2 linked regions of the Oryzias latipes genome follow. The protein of the gene in region 2 binds, or shares a complex with, the protein of the main gene of each other region. Links are inferred from orthologs where the notes say so. Each region holds a gene or a part of one and is shown on either strand. Other genes may lie near its edges.

Region 1 (6,203 bases), on a different chromosome or scaffold from region 2:
CGGTACTCGCTTTTCTCCACCATCTACATGCCGACACAGCAGAATCCTGTGAAAAGAGCTGTTGCCAGCTCAGCTGATCCAACGTCTTCATGACTGACCTGGAAGCAGATGTGCTGCAGCAGAATCTCCAGGAAAGGTTTCGCCAGCTCCCTCTGCTCCTCCACCAAATGACTGGAATCACATTCAACAGTTCAAACGTCAAAGACATCCTGTAGAAATAATAGAAAGGAAGCGCACACACGCTGCTAACTTTGGTGGCGCTGCAAAAGCACACTTCATAGGTTTGTTGATGCCTCTAAATTGTCTGTTGTCTGTGTGTGATGGACTAATAAATGGCCTAAGATGAAGTCCAGCTGCACCTTTCAGGAGATGTGGAAAGGCTCCAGCATCCCTGTGACCCTGAACGGTGCATATAGAAGATGGATGGAAAATACAAAAGAGCTATGAAAACAGGAGAAACAGATAGAGGGAATGGATGCATAGATACGGGTATAAATAAACAGATGAGCATTAGGCTAGCACACTGACTATATGTGAGAACTGGACTGAAACTAGTGTGACGTCACTCATTGAAAATGGTTTACTTCTGGCTCCAACCAAACCAAGTCAATTCATTTGCCATTTCTTGGATGCCACCTCATTGGAACCAGACAACATCCAAGTCGGACTGAGTCCGTGTTCTATGGTGACCACCCTCTCCAATCAGGAGTGAACTTGTTGGAGGGCCACACCCCTACCACGTGAAAGCGGGAGAATCTGTCAACTTACTTTTATTGAAGTATCTGACTGGTCAGTTTATACTCATTCAGACTTGCAAAACAGAAAACAAAAAATCCAAAAATATGCTTAAAAAAAGTATCAGACCAAGAAAGTTAGAATAACCGGAGTAAAAGCAGTTTATTTCTCTATAGAAGTCTATGGGATTTTGGTTTCTTGAAGCCAGCAGGTACTTCCTGTTTGGAATGCTAGGGGGAGGGGGGGGGGGGTCACTCAGTCCAGTTCTCTTATACAGTCAATGGCCTAGAAAGAAAGCGTGAGAGAAGGAAAATAAAACATTGCCAAGGAGGAAGGGAAAAATGCATTCTAGGAGATAAAAATAATGAAGTCAAACTGTGTCTAATAGTTTAGGGTTTCAATTGAGCTGTTGAGTTGATTGTGGTAAAGATCTGGTGTAAAAAATGTTTCACATCTGAAAGAATTTCCTTAAGAAAACTGACGTTTTTTCATTGAGACGCTGCCCTCTAGTGGTCATAGGAATATATTTCAGAATGAAGGTTCAGATTTACAGGACTGTTGCTTGAATGTAAAAAAACAAGAGTATAACTAATGGACATCAGATGACATCACTTTAAATAGATTTATTTTACTCTAACATTTAAGAAACACTTGGTAAATAAAACAATTCCAATACTACTGCAACTATTCCAGGAACCCCATGTCCTACCCACCAGTCACACGCGCACACACCAACCATACTAAAAGCAAAGACAAAGCAAAAATTCAAACCTCTCACCTTACAAACTGAATGGCATAATCCCTGATTGCCAAAACACTCCGACTGAGAACACGGAGGACCGGTTTCCCTCGACTCTCTTTATTCATCATCAGTATGGCATAGAGCAGCTGATGGAAGACGCTGCGCAAAGACTACACAAAGAACATTGTGTTATCATGATCAATCCATGCCCTAAATATGCCACAACTTCCATTTTAACATGAAGTCAGGATACCACAAATTATTTAAATTGCATTCACCAAATTTTGTAAGAATAAAAGGAGAACAAAGGTTAGCATTTTTGGTAGGAAACACAAAAACCCTCATTGCAAACATAAGATTACACATCTGCAGCTCCTCTGATGTTTACTGCATTAAACTGAAACCTTTCTTTCTGTTATGTATCATTTATGATGTACAATTTTGCAACACAAAACCTCGTTTTTTCATTCATTCTCATCAACATCAGACATTACGCCATTTATGATTAACAAATCTTTTTTGCAATGACGTGTCCTCACTAGTGACGTGGTTAATCACCCCTCTTTCCCAAAAAGGTTTTTTGATTTGATTGATTCATTTAAGACCGTTTTCTATGCGAGGCTGAATGCCTGTCTGTGTTAAGTTAGGAAGGAGAGTTTCTGGAAAACATCTGCTTCTGAAAACTTGGCCTCACAGTTTTATCGTAGAAACACAAAACATGCTAAATCCCACTTAACCCTTGTGCTATCTTAGATGACCCCCCCCTTCCATTGACGTGTTCTCCCTACCATGACAAAGGTGGATAAAGGTGGAAAGATTTCATGTAATCCATGGACACCAGTGAAGATCACAAATCATTGAAGAAAAAAGGTTCAGAGCACTGTCTAGTGGGTCTAGATGACCCAACTCCCAATGTTAAAGTGCCTAGGATAGCACAAGGGTTAAGTAGACCAGTGTTTTGTAACCAGTGTGCTGCGGGGGATGGTCAGGTGTACTGTGGGAAATTACTAATATTTTATTTAAAAACCCACACAATGTCAATGCCAGCCCCCCCAGTGAGTTTATAGAATCTGTCTGTTGGAAAAACTGTTGTCAGTTTAAGGACAGCGTTTTCTATTGTTCCAATTTGATTGAACTGTTGTTGGAAACACTGTGAAGAAGATTTTTTTTGTTTTCAGCAGTGACGTTTCTTATTCGTTTGCTGCTGAAGTTAACAGAAAACCTTTTGAGTGCAACATTGTTTAAAGTGGCAAATATTTCTTTTTAAAATCTTTGCCTTTTCATCAGTTATTTTTTAATTCTGATCTCTCCTAAACAAAAAGGTATAAAGCATGACGATTTTTATTTTATTATATCCAATTACAAGACAAGACTGTGACCAAACAATATATTAAATAGTAATAATTGTGGTTTGATTTGTGAATTGATGGTCTTTCTTTAGTAATCGAATCAGATCACCTGTAAGCCTGTAAACTTATCTAAAGAATACAGATATTAAACAGACAGAGCGTTTACAAACTGACCAGAAACAGAGGTAACTGGACCTTACTTCTTTCTGGTCTCCATGTTTTGCTAAGCAGAGCAGCTCAAGCCCATAGAAAGCCATCTCTGGAATGCTCCTCATTTCAGTCATGTCTCTGCACAGGCAAGAAGATCAGGCTGCTTTCATGGATCATTTCTTCCACATATCAGAGAGTGGCGTAAGAAAACTCACCGTGGAGCAGCAAAGGTAATCTCACCAAGGACAGGTTCAATGTGAAGCAGCTTACAGAAGATCTGCAAAGACCAGAGGATTTGATCTACTCACGCTGCTGTGTGGTCTGAAGAACCGGGGGGGTGGGGACCAGAATTACCTGCGTGAAGCTGCTGGCGGTTTCTGGCCGGTCTTTGAGTGGAAATGTTTGGAGGAGCCTCAGAAGGCTGTGGACCAGAAAAACGGCTGCTTCTCTGATCTTCATCAGATCTTCGTTTGAGAAATAAATATCCTCCTCCTCCTCGTCCTGTTCCTCAGCTTCATCCATTTCCATCTAACAACAAAAAATCTTTTCGATAAATGAAACATTACAAAGACCTGTCCAAAATGCAATACATCAGCTATATAATCATTTAGGTCATTTTTCTTTCTAAACATCACAACATATTGCGTAAAATGTGAGAAGTCCCACCACTGACCAGTGGCGGTTTTTGATATGGGCGAGGTGGGCGGTGGCCCAGGGCGGCACATCATATGGGGCAGCATTTTCTGTGCCGACAGTGTAACACATAGGGAAATAGCTACGTCAAAGAGGAGACTCTGGCTTTTATTTTTACATGCCTGCTACAGTCGGCACTTAGCGCTTTTATTTTGACACATCAGACACTTAACATCACACCCATATCTTCATCCACTCCCATCTCCACACTTATGGTGCAAAAAATAAAATAAAATAAATAAAAAGATGAAATAACTAAGAGTGAAACAACGTAAAACAGCCACATGAAAAGGCACTCAGGCAGAAGAAAAACCCGTGCTCAACCCAATTTCGACCAAAGCAGGCAATGGGGATTATTTCCCACAATTCCCCGCTCCGACACAGCGGACCTAACGTGCACGTGACCACCGCCCTCTGCTGCAAGACACTTGCGGCCCACGCCTCTTTGAGATAGACTATGGAACATACCAAGTCAAAAAATTCGAGAGGGGGGAGCAATTCACCGGTGGCTGGATGAATCACGCTATCAGGTAACTGGGAGTCTTTCAGTCTAAAAATCAACTCTAGGCCACAGCTGCGCGCTCCCGCCATAGAGACGGAGCCGCGTACGTCAGAAAGAACGGGAGGGGAGGGGAAGGGTGGTGGGCGCATCTGTGAGGAGCGCAGCCTACATTTTGATAATGTCATTATTTACCAACTATTGTAGATATTGTTATTACGCGTCTTTTCTGTTGTTTAGTTGGTGTCAGTATTTGACAAAGACAGCAGGTAATGCAGAAAAACAGCTGCACTTTATGAGATCATAAATAAACTATAGATCATTTTTTTATGAATGGATGGAGGTTTTTTGGAGGATTTCTATTGTTAGTGTTGGACAAAATTAGGGAAATGCCAAATATTTTTGGAGTAATCCCACTGATGAGTTCTATGATTTAGTTTGTAATGTTTTATAAAACCCAAAAATGATATTCACAATACGTTTGTTTGTTTTTTTAGATCCAATCGCTTCGAATTGTTTTACAAAGACACACAGGACGTCGCACACCAAGAAAGTATTGCTAAAAATGATGCAGAAGTCCAACTCTAACAAATGATAAAAGAGCAAAGAAAATGGAAAGACATGATTTTTTATTTCTTATTATTAATATTTTCAGGCTTTGTTTGTTTTGTTTCTGCGGCATCTCCATATTTGTATAATTTGTACAGAATACATTTTGATGGAGAGCAAAATATTATACGTTATTTAAGCTTTAACTTGAGTTATTCTGGATTAGAGTTCATGTTTTTATTCATATTTATGTTCAAAAAGTTCATTTTTCAGTATTAAATGTTTTAAAGGTTTAAAAGTTTAGCTTTTTGTGATCAGTAAATGTTTATCTTGTTCAGCCCAAAACCTAAAGCATGTTTTTAATTTAGGCCCCTGTGCGACTGAGTTTGACCCCCCTGTAATACGAGTCTAGACATTTGTGATGGGGCGGAGCCATCCTTTTTATGTCTTCTCATTGAAGCGGAACCAGCCTTTTGTCACTGAGGCGGAGCTGTCTTTTAACGCTGTTTTCTTGATTTACCTTTTTGATCCAACCTCATTTATATTGTATTAGTTTGCATTAAACACTGGAGGTGTCTTTTGTTTCTAAACCTAAACTTTTGTAATAACTTCTGAAGATTAGAGATAATGTTTGAGTTAACTCTCTACACATGCGGTAACAGGGCCTTCATTAAATAATAAATAACCTACTGTCAATAGATGACTGTAGTAATATAACCCAAAATGTGATGTCCACACATGTGAACGCCAGGTCTTCAGAGGTTAAAGGTTGCATACAGAATCTCACATCCACAGCATTTTTGTCATCAATACACAAACAGGCCAAAGTAAAAGGTTTCTTCAGTACTAATGTCGTTGTCTCTACTGTCCTGAAGGGGCTCTGTACCTGTGGAGGCTTTTTCTTCTGGGCTTTGGCTCGTTTCCCCTCGCCTTGAGGATTTTTCATCCCATCCTTTTTGCGCTTTTTTCCAGAGTCTTGAGGCCAGCAGTGTGAGGTCAGGTCAGAGCAGGTGTCCAACAAAACTTCATGAAAGACTTGGTTGGCAATGCTTCCTTTAAGCAAAAAATAATAACAAATAAACAACAGGACCAAGTCTCAGTTAAAATATGCTTTTAACCACAGAGTTATGCTGCATTTGAAGAAACCTTAAGGTTCCCTTACCTGGGATTTTCAATAGCAGCAGGTAGAGTGAGGCAGCATACAGTCCACCCACTCTGTTCTGTGTGTTGGCAGCTCTGGCTTTAGCCCCCAACACATAGAAAGAAAGCACAGCCACCAAGGCCTTGATTGATACCCCATTCTCCCTAAAAATGCCCCAAAAGTTCTGCAGAAGAAGAGTGGAGTTTTTGGTTAAATATTTTCCATCAGAATTTCAGGAGAATCAAATGTGCCACTTTTTTTTTTTTACATGTTTTTTACAGTTGACCACATGTTTTTTAAACTTTTGCAGCTGTATTTATTTATTTTATATTTATTTAATACAAA
Region 2 (6,870 bases):
TTTGTAGTACAAAAGTCATATTTCGAACCGTGACCCAAAAATTGAGGTTTGAACTGAATCGAGGGGAAAGTGAATCACTGCATCCCACTTAAAAGAAGGGGTTTCACAACAGAAAGTACCGCTAGTTTTAGTAAATATATAGGAGTTTTTTTAATGTGTAGAGGAACTTTTCTGCTTTTTCATTTGCATACTTCTCAGCGGTTCCCTTCAGACTGGACATCTGTCGCTCAGTATCCTGAAGTTTGGCCTCCTTATCGCTCAGGCTGTCCTGAACATCTTTTACTTCCTGCAGGCTCGACAAAATCGATGCCGACTGCGAGCGAGCGCCTGGAAAGAAAAAAAGAGGAGCCAAGTATTGAAACTGATTTGATTTTCCAAGGAAACAGGAGTCGAGCGTTGATCTCACCTCCACTCAAAGTTCCCTGCGGGTCAAAGATGTCTCCCCCAAGCGTAACAGTCTTGGTCATCACCTGTTTGTCAAACGCCACTTTCTTTGCGTTGTCCAAAGTGTCACAGACCAGCGTGGAGCCGAACACATACTCCATGGCTTTACGAAGGTCAGACTCGTATCCCACCAGGGACAGAGCTGTGTGAACGTTGTCCTCCCCGACCTCACAGAACAAAGACAAAATCACGGAAAATTACCTACGAGAAAACCTAATGAATGAGATGTGATTCCTTTTATACACAAGAAAAAGTCGGAGACTATGAAAGCACAGAGTTTTCTCACCAGGCGCTTCGCGGTGTGGATCACTTTGTCGTTGAGAGTTTTGGCAGATATCTTGTTGAGAGGAATGATGGTGTACCTGCGCTGTAGCTCTCCTTTCTCCAGCAGCTTCTTACCAGTCACCTAAGAAGGAAGGATTCAATCATTTAGTCACAAAGATTCTGTTTATTCACCTGTGAAATAAATTTAAAAAAAAAACTTTCAAAAGGTCTACCTCTGTGTCTACAACAATGTTGTAGAGCCGTCCACCTGCAACTACCTCCAGTGCCGTGGCATAGGAAACATCACTGACACTTATGAGATTAGCTAGAAGGCCCTTCACTTTGCTTCGGTCCCAGCCTCTCTCCGGATCTCTGGGAGACAGCAGAATTTATTACAACAGAAAAGAAGAAAAATGCAAACTGAAGAAAAGAAAAATGACTCAAATAAAACATCGTCAAGAGGAAGAAAAAAAACTCAATTCATGGTGGACAAGATAAGAAATTAAAGTTCTATTTCTTAATCAAATCTTTAGATTAGATAGTTCATAGAGATGAAAGAAACAGCAGAATCAATCATTTGTCCACACTTAAAACTTCAAATCAAAATAGTTCCTGTTTATGTTTAAGCTGTAAAATCTTGTAAACTGTTAAACTATTTGGAATTAGCTGTTAATGAATTTATGGATCAATTTTGCCCCACTCCAAAAACCATTATGTTGCTGCAAATGAAAATATGAACAAAATTAAAATCACTACATATGAAATAATTCACTAACTGCAGGCATTTTACTTTTCCAGTCAATAAACTAAACACATCTGCCACCTGGTTTATTTATAGATTTTGAATAAGAATGTTAAACGAAATCTTACGTGTCTGGGCTTATACGCTGTTATGTAAATTAAAATGTACATTTAAAGGCATGATACTCAAACAGATAGAAGCGTTTACTTGTATTCAAAGCGCAGGCTGGGAAAACGAGACATGAGTCGGTCAAAGGTCTCCTTAAGTTGAGCGACTTCTCTGGAAAGCTGTCTTCGTTTTTCCATCAGGCTTTCTTCTTTTCCATCTGCAGCAGCACAAACACAAGTTGAGTCACTAAACAGGCAAAAGCTTTTACAACATTCGTCTTTTATTTTCAGGAGAATGCTGCACCTTCATAGTTGAGTTTGGCCAGCTCCGCCTCCAGTTTCTCTCGGCTGCTTTTGACGGCCTTAAAGGTGTCCTGATCTTTCTTGTAGCCGCTGTCCATCTTCTTCATCTCCGCTTGTTTGGTCTTCAGCTCTGCCTGGGCATGCTTCAGGGTCATTTGGGCCTGTGCAAAGATGGAAATGGTTGGGTTTCGGATCAAATAATTCAACGGAGAAGCAGCAGGTGTGCAGGACGTCAAGCCACTGCACATCAAAAGTGTCTCTTTTCTCCACCTGCTTGGCCTCTGTGTCTGCTTTGCTCATCTCGTTCTTGCAGGCCATCATCTGCCCAGCTAAAGTGGCTTCCTCGCCGTCCTCGTTGGTAGAAAGACCCGCCGACACAGCTTTGAAATGCTGCTCAGCTGCCTCAAGTTCAGCTGTGTTTTTCTGTCCTTCCACCTGCAGTGCCTGAAGCTGTTCGGACAACTTGCTCACTTCTTTTTCCTTCACCACGAGCACTTTCTTGTCCTAAAAAGAATGACCGAGACCAATAAGCTTGATAAAGTAAAAATCTTGCAGCCACCAATGAGAAGCACAAATGAATCCATTACCTCCTCCATGCTCTTCACGAGCTCTTTCCTCTTTTTGGTTTCATCTTTCAGATTCTGCTTTTTTAAGTCGAGACTGCTCTGAGCTTTGGCATCCTCACGCTGCACACTTGCAAGAGACATCTCCAAGGTTTTTAATTCTCCGTTTACCTCCTTAAAATAAACACCAAAAGTGTGTCAGAGCCACACAAAACATACAAATATTTTTTTTCTTTTATTTCTCTTTCAGTACCTGGTCATTTTTCTTCTGAAGCTCTTGAATCTGAGCAGAAAGCTCCTGGATTTTGCTCTCATTCTCTGAAACTTTGGCCTGCATCTTGACAATGTTGCCTTGCATCACCTTCAGATTTTCAGCCGACTTGACTTTAGTCTCCTCGGCACACACAAACAGCCAGGCCACATAAAGTCGTGACAAGTGCTGGATCTCACGCATCAGCTTCTGGTACTCCAAATAGGAGGATCTTTCCTGTGCATCAAAGAACATTTAAAGCATATCCTTAAATCATTACACAAATGTTGAAATAAAAAATAAATAAAAAACATTTAGCTCACCTCTTGCAGCTTTTGCATAGTTGGAGTAATCTCTTCATCCAAAATCTAAACGTCAGGAAACATAGAACAAAGTTTGCAGCTGCTTGTTTCCCCAAAAACCACAAGAAACTTGAATAACAGATGGTAGACATACAGTCTGAATCTCTCTCAGCTTGGCCTCTTTCTTCTCAATTGTTCTCTGTGCACTGATCTTTTTACATTCGTACATTCTGGTGCCTGCTGCCTCCTCAATCATAGCAAGAATCTAGAGACAAATAGTATATTAGTACTAACAAAAGTGTTTCTATTATACTTTTTTTTTCATCAAACAAAGTACATACCTCTGGTGGTTTCATATTCAAAACCTTGGTTATTCTTCCCTAAATAAGTAAAAAAAAAAAAAAGACCCCAAAGGTCAAACGAATGATTTTGTTTAGCAATTTCTGAAAACTCTCAATGTTTAAGATGCAAAGCTGACCTGCATGATGAGGAAATGAGGGTTGTTAACGTTGAGGCCAACAGAGCAGAACAAGTCCTGCACCCTGGTGTTGTTGGCATTGACCCCATTGATCAGATATTTGTTCCTGCCTCCTATGACAACCTTTATGAAGAAAACGTTTGTGATCAAGTTTTAAAAAATGCTTTATAAATTGGGATATTAAATAATTGTGTACTTTCCTGACCTGTCTGGTTACAGTGATCTCATCGTGGGTTTCAAACCCCAGAGGGCTCTGGCTCTTATTGGAGTTGTCAAAAGTAATAGACACAGTGGCCTTGGTGATGCCACCCTGGCCGTTCTTGTAAACCAAGTCCTGAAGGTTTGAAGCTCGAACCTTTTAAATAAAATAGAACAGAATTACTGTTTTTTTTGCTATTAAAAGAAGGCAAAGCTGCTTTTTTTTTTACTTTAATCAATGGAAACATGCGGAAACGTCCTTACGTGTGAGAGGTTGGAAATCCCCAAAAGGAAACATATCGAGTCCAAGATGTTGGACTTGCCACTGCCGTTCAGTCCCGTGATGGCATTGAATAGCGGGTCGAAGCCGTTAATTTCTGTCCTCTGTGCGTAAGATTTAAATCCTTCGATAATTATTGATTTAATGTACATCGTTACTTATCTTGTCTTGCCGAAACAAACGCCACAGAAAATATCCGTTTCAGCGACAAGTCAGTTAAAAGAAAAATGCGGCGAGCAAAGCAACAGCCCAATGTTTATATCAAACCAAAAGACTGTCGTCTAACTTGAATTTTGGCGGTAAACACACACTAAGAAAACTTTCGGTCGACAGTAGGCCATTCATCATGCCGGAGTCAAAACAAAAAAATCCATATGTAATATAATTTGACAGAAAATTGAAAGAAAATAAACATAAAAGACTTGGTCCGTAATTTGCTATAATTTATTCAGACCAGTTCAATTATGTTTATTTAAACGTTTTGTCAATGCATTTTGTAGGCATATACCGGGGCAGCTAAATCCCTAAACCATCGGGTGATTGGCGCACACTGTACTTTTTTAAAAATACTTTATTGTTTAACACATGTAGAACAAGTATGCAGGACAACAACATTAGCCATAACAGTGAGAATGCCACAGGATTATGAACAGTATAGGACTCCATAATACTTAAGGTTAAATTCTTTATATCTGAGTTTTATTGTCCATTGTGGTTAAAAAGCTGACCCACCAGTAGGATATCTTTATTAAAACAATTATTGTAAAATAATGATTTGTTCTTGTAAAGTATATACGCTATTCCAAACAAAAGAGTTATGAGGGGAAAATTTGTGAGTAAGTGCCCATGAAAGAAGAATCTGTCTGTGAAAAGCAGAGTTTAACTGGGATTTTGTCAATATTATAATGACAAAGGAGAAAAAAATGGAGACCATGTGTTAGCAAAAATGTGATGAGGGAAAATATTCCAGATGGAAAGTGGAATTTTTAAATATGATTTAATCAAGTTTATTTTAAAGTATTATTTAAAGAAGTAAAATTTAAGAAAATTTAAGCCTCCTTTTTTATAGTTCATTAATACAGATTTTTTTTAAATAAATATGATTTTTCCAGATGAAATTTAACAACATTTGGGCAATAGATTTAAGAGTCTGATTGTCCAAGTGTAGAGACAAAGCAAAATAAGTAAGTTGAGAAATCCCTTCTGCTTTTGAGAGTAGAATCTTCTTTCTCAAACTCAACTCTCTTTGAAGCCGTTGGTTAAAACGTTTTGGGAACGAAGTTTTTTTTTTTTTTTTTTTTTTTTTTTTTATTGAACAATTGCAACATACAAAACAAGAAAATACAACAATTATGCACATATAATGTACAATAAAATTCTAAATACAGAACAAACATGTTGCATTCTTTAAAAAATACTAATTATTAATAATAAACACAAAAGGGAATAAGAAATAAAAAGAAACAAAAAAAAAAAAAGAGAAAAGAGAAAATGCGAGAGTAAATCTATGTCAGCGGTCCAAAAGATTTACAGATGCTAATTGTTTTTTGAGCTTTTGTATTTTTTGAAGCAGAAATTAAGTTTAAATAACGCTGCAGTTCCAGTTTGAACACAAAGAAATCCGGTTTTTTATTGGAAAATTTTCTTTTGTGTATATGAAATTTAGCGATAAATAATACCATGTTTACACAAAAGAAAGCATCACGGTCTTTGACATCAAAGCTATGAAAACCAAAAAGTATGTTTTTATAATAAAGTTGTATGTCAGCAAAAATAGAATCGGTGATAAATTTGTGAATGTTTTTCCAAAATCTGTATGTAAATTCACAAGACCAGAATAAATGAGAGCAGGTTTCAGGTTGTTTCTGGCAGAAAGTACAACTGGTGTTTATGTCAGCCTTAAATTTAGTTAAATAATGCTTTGCTGGATAAAATCTGTGTAGGAGTTTAAAAGAGATTTCTTTGACTTTATTTGTTAAGAAGTATTTTTGTGGTAAAGACCAGACTTTTTTCCAATCAATGTTAGAAGTGAAATTAGCCCAATAAAAGAACGAAGTTACTGAGCATCTTTCTAAACTATTTTTTTTAGATAATGGCGCCCCCTGTGGTAACAAAACTGATCTGAACAAAACAGAATTACCACATTTTTCTTGACAGCAGAAAAAAAAAATGAATTACTTATTCTTGACTGTAGAAATGTGTTGTATTTTTGTTTGTTTGTTTGTTTTTGTGTGTGTTCAGCTGTCTATTATTATGATTCTTGTTATTGTAATAAAATTATTAATATACAGTAATAAAGTGAGCCCTTCAAGTAGATGTTTCCTTTTTTGTAGCTTTGTAAATGGCTATTTTTGTCTAAGACAAAGCTTACATTTTTTAATTCATTGCAAACTTTCACACAAATTCCTAACCTGCATTTTATATATAAATCATATTTTTCAGACAAAAGTATTACAAGTAAACATCCTTTTTTTTAGGTCACAAATTTGTTTTGGAAATGTGTACTTTCAAAAAATAATAGAAATAATAGTTTTACATGTTTTAGGAAGTTCTAAAAGTTTACAAATTATGAAAAGAGGGTCAAATATTGTTTTCTCTGATATAATTTTCTAATTGTCTGTGTGACCCTGCAATGGACTGGCAACCTGTGCCGTGTGCACCCAGCTTCACCTGACAGTATAGGCCCCAACAACCCCATGACCTTGAAGAGGTGGGATGACTGCCACCTCAAAACTAAAAACTACACTTCAAAAACCGAATCTTAATGAAGTAAAAATATCCTCATCTAAAAAAAGGCTTTCTCCAAGAAATATTTTTGACAGCAAAATACTATTGGTTTAAAAAAACAAAGAAAAAAACTCATATTTTAAGAACTGTTGACTTATTTCAAGGGGGTGCTTTTGCAGTGTGATTGGTTTTGAGTCAAGAAAATGTAACAA

The links. Proteins that work in one complex are often made in the same cells at the same time.
Region 1: the proteins of smc2 (region 2) and ncapd3 are in contact, whole or in part, in a cryo-EM structure (PDB 9F5W), measured with the Homo sapiens proteins. The link is inferred for Oryzias latipes from reciprocal best matches to the Homo sapiens genes SMC2 and NCAPD3. Residues at the interface, in NP_001036015.1 of Homo sapiens: Arg112, Ala122, Asn123, Asn124, Thr125, Arg126, Leu218, Lys222, Arg225, His229, Trp940, Asn942, Ala943, Glu944, Phe948, Arg981, Met985, Arg986; in NP_056076.1 of Homo sapiens: Asp31, Met72, Ile80, Pro127, Gly128, Ala131, Phe135, Pro137, Asp141, Lys235, Gln237, Gln240, Leu1121, Asn1196, Asn1200, Pro1203.

The regions. Positions count from the first base shown.
Region 1 is NC_019873.2:3,917,224-3,923,426, reverse strand, and holds part of ncapd3 (condensin-2 complex subunit D3), read right to left. Parts: intron 6,043-6,203; coding exon 5,880-6,042; intron 5,771-5,879; coding exon 5,604-5,770; intron 3,505-5,603; coding exon 3,331-3,504; intron 3,254-3,330; coding exon 3,192-3,253; intron 3,115-3,191; coding exon 3,027-3,114; intron 1,648-3,026; coding exon 1,514-1,647; intron 172-1,513; coding exon 99-171; intron 24-98; coding exon 1-23.
Region 2 is NC_019859.2:11,203,590-11,210,459, reverse strand, and holds the start of smc2 (structural maintenance of chromosomes protein 2), read right to left. Parts: upstream 4,243-6,870; 5' UTR 4,084-4,242; coding exon 3,916-4,083; intron 3,809-3,915; coding exon 3,659-3,808; intron 3,577-3,658; coding exon 3,454-3,576; intron 3,356-3,453; coding exon 3,317-3,355; intron 3,241-3,316; coding exon 3,130-3,240; intron 3,042-3,129; coding exon 2,997-3,041; intron 2,911-2,996; coding exon 2,677-2,910; intron 2,598-2,676; coding exon 2,448-2,597; intron 2,365-2,447; coding exon 2,131-2,364; intron 2,022-2,130; coding exon 1,862-2,021; intron 1,776-1,861; coding exon 1,658-1,775; intron 1,081-1,657; coding exon 942-1,080; intron 851-941; coding exon 731-850; intron 612-730; coding exon 407-611; intron 328-406; coding exon 192-327; intron 1-191. UniProt on the Homo sapiens protein: Central component of the condensin complex, a complex required for conversion of interphase chromatin into mitotic-like condense chromosomes.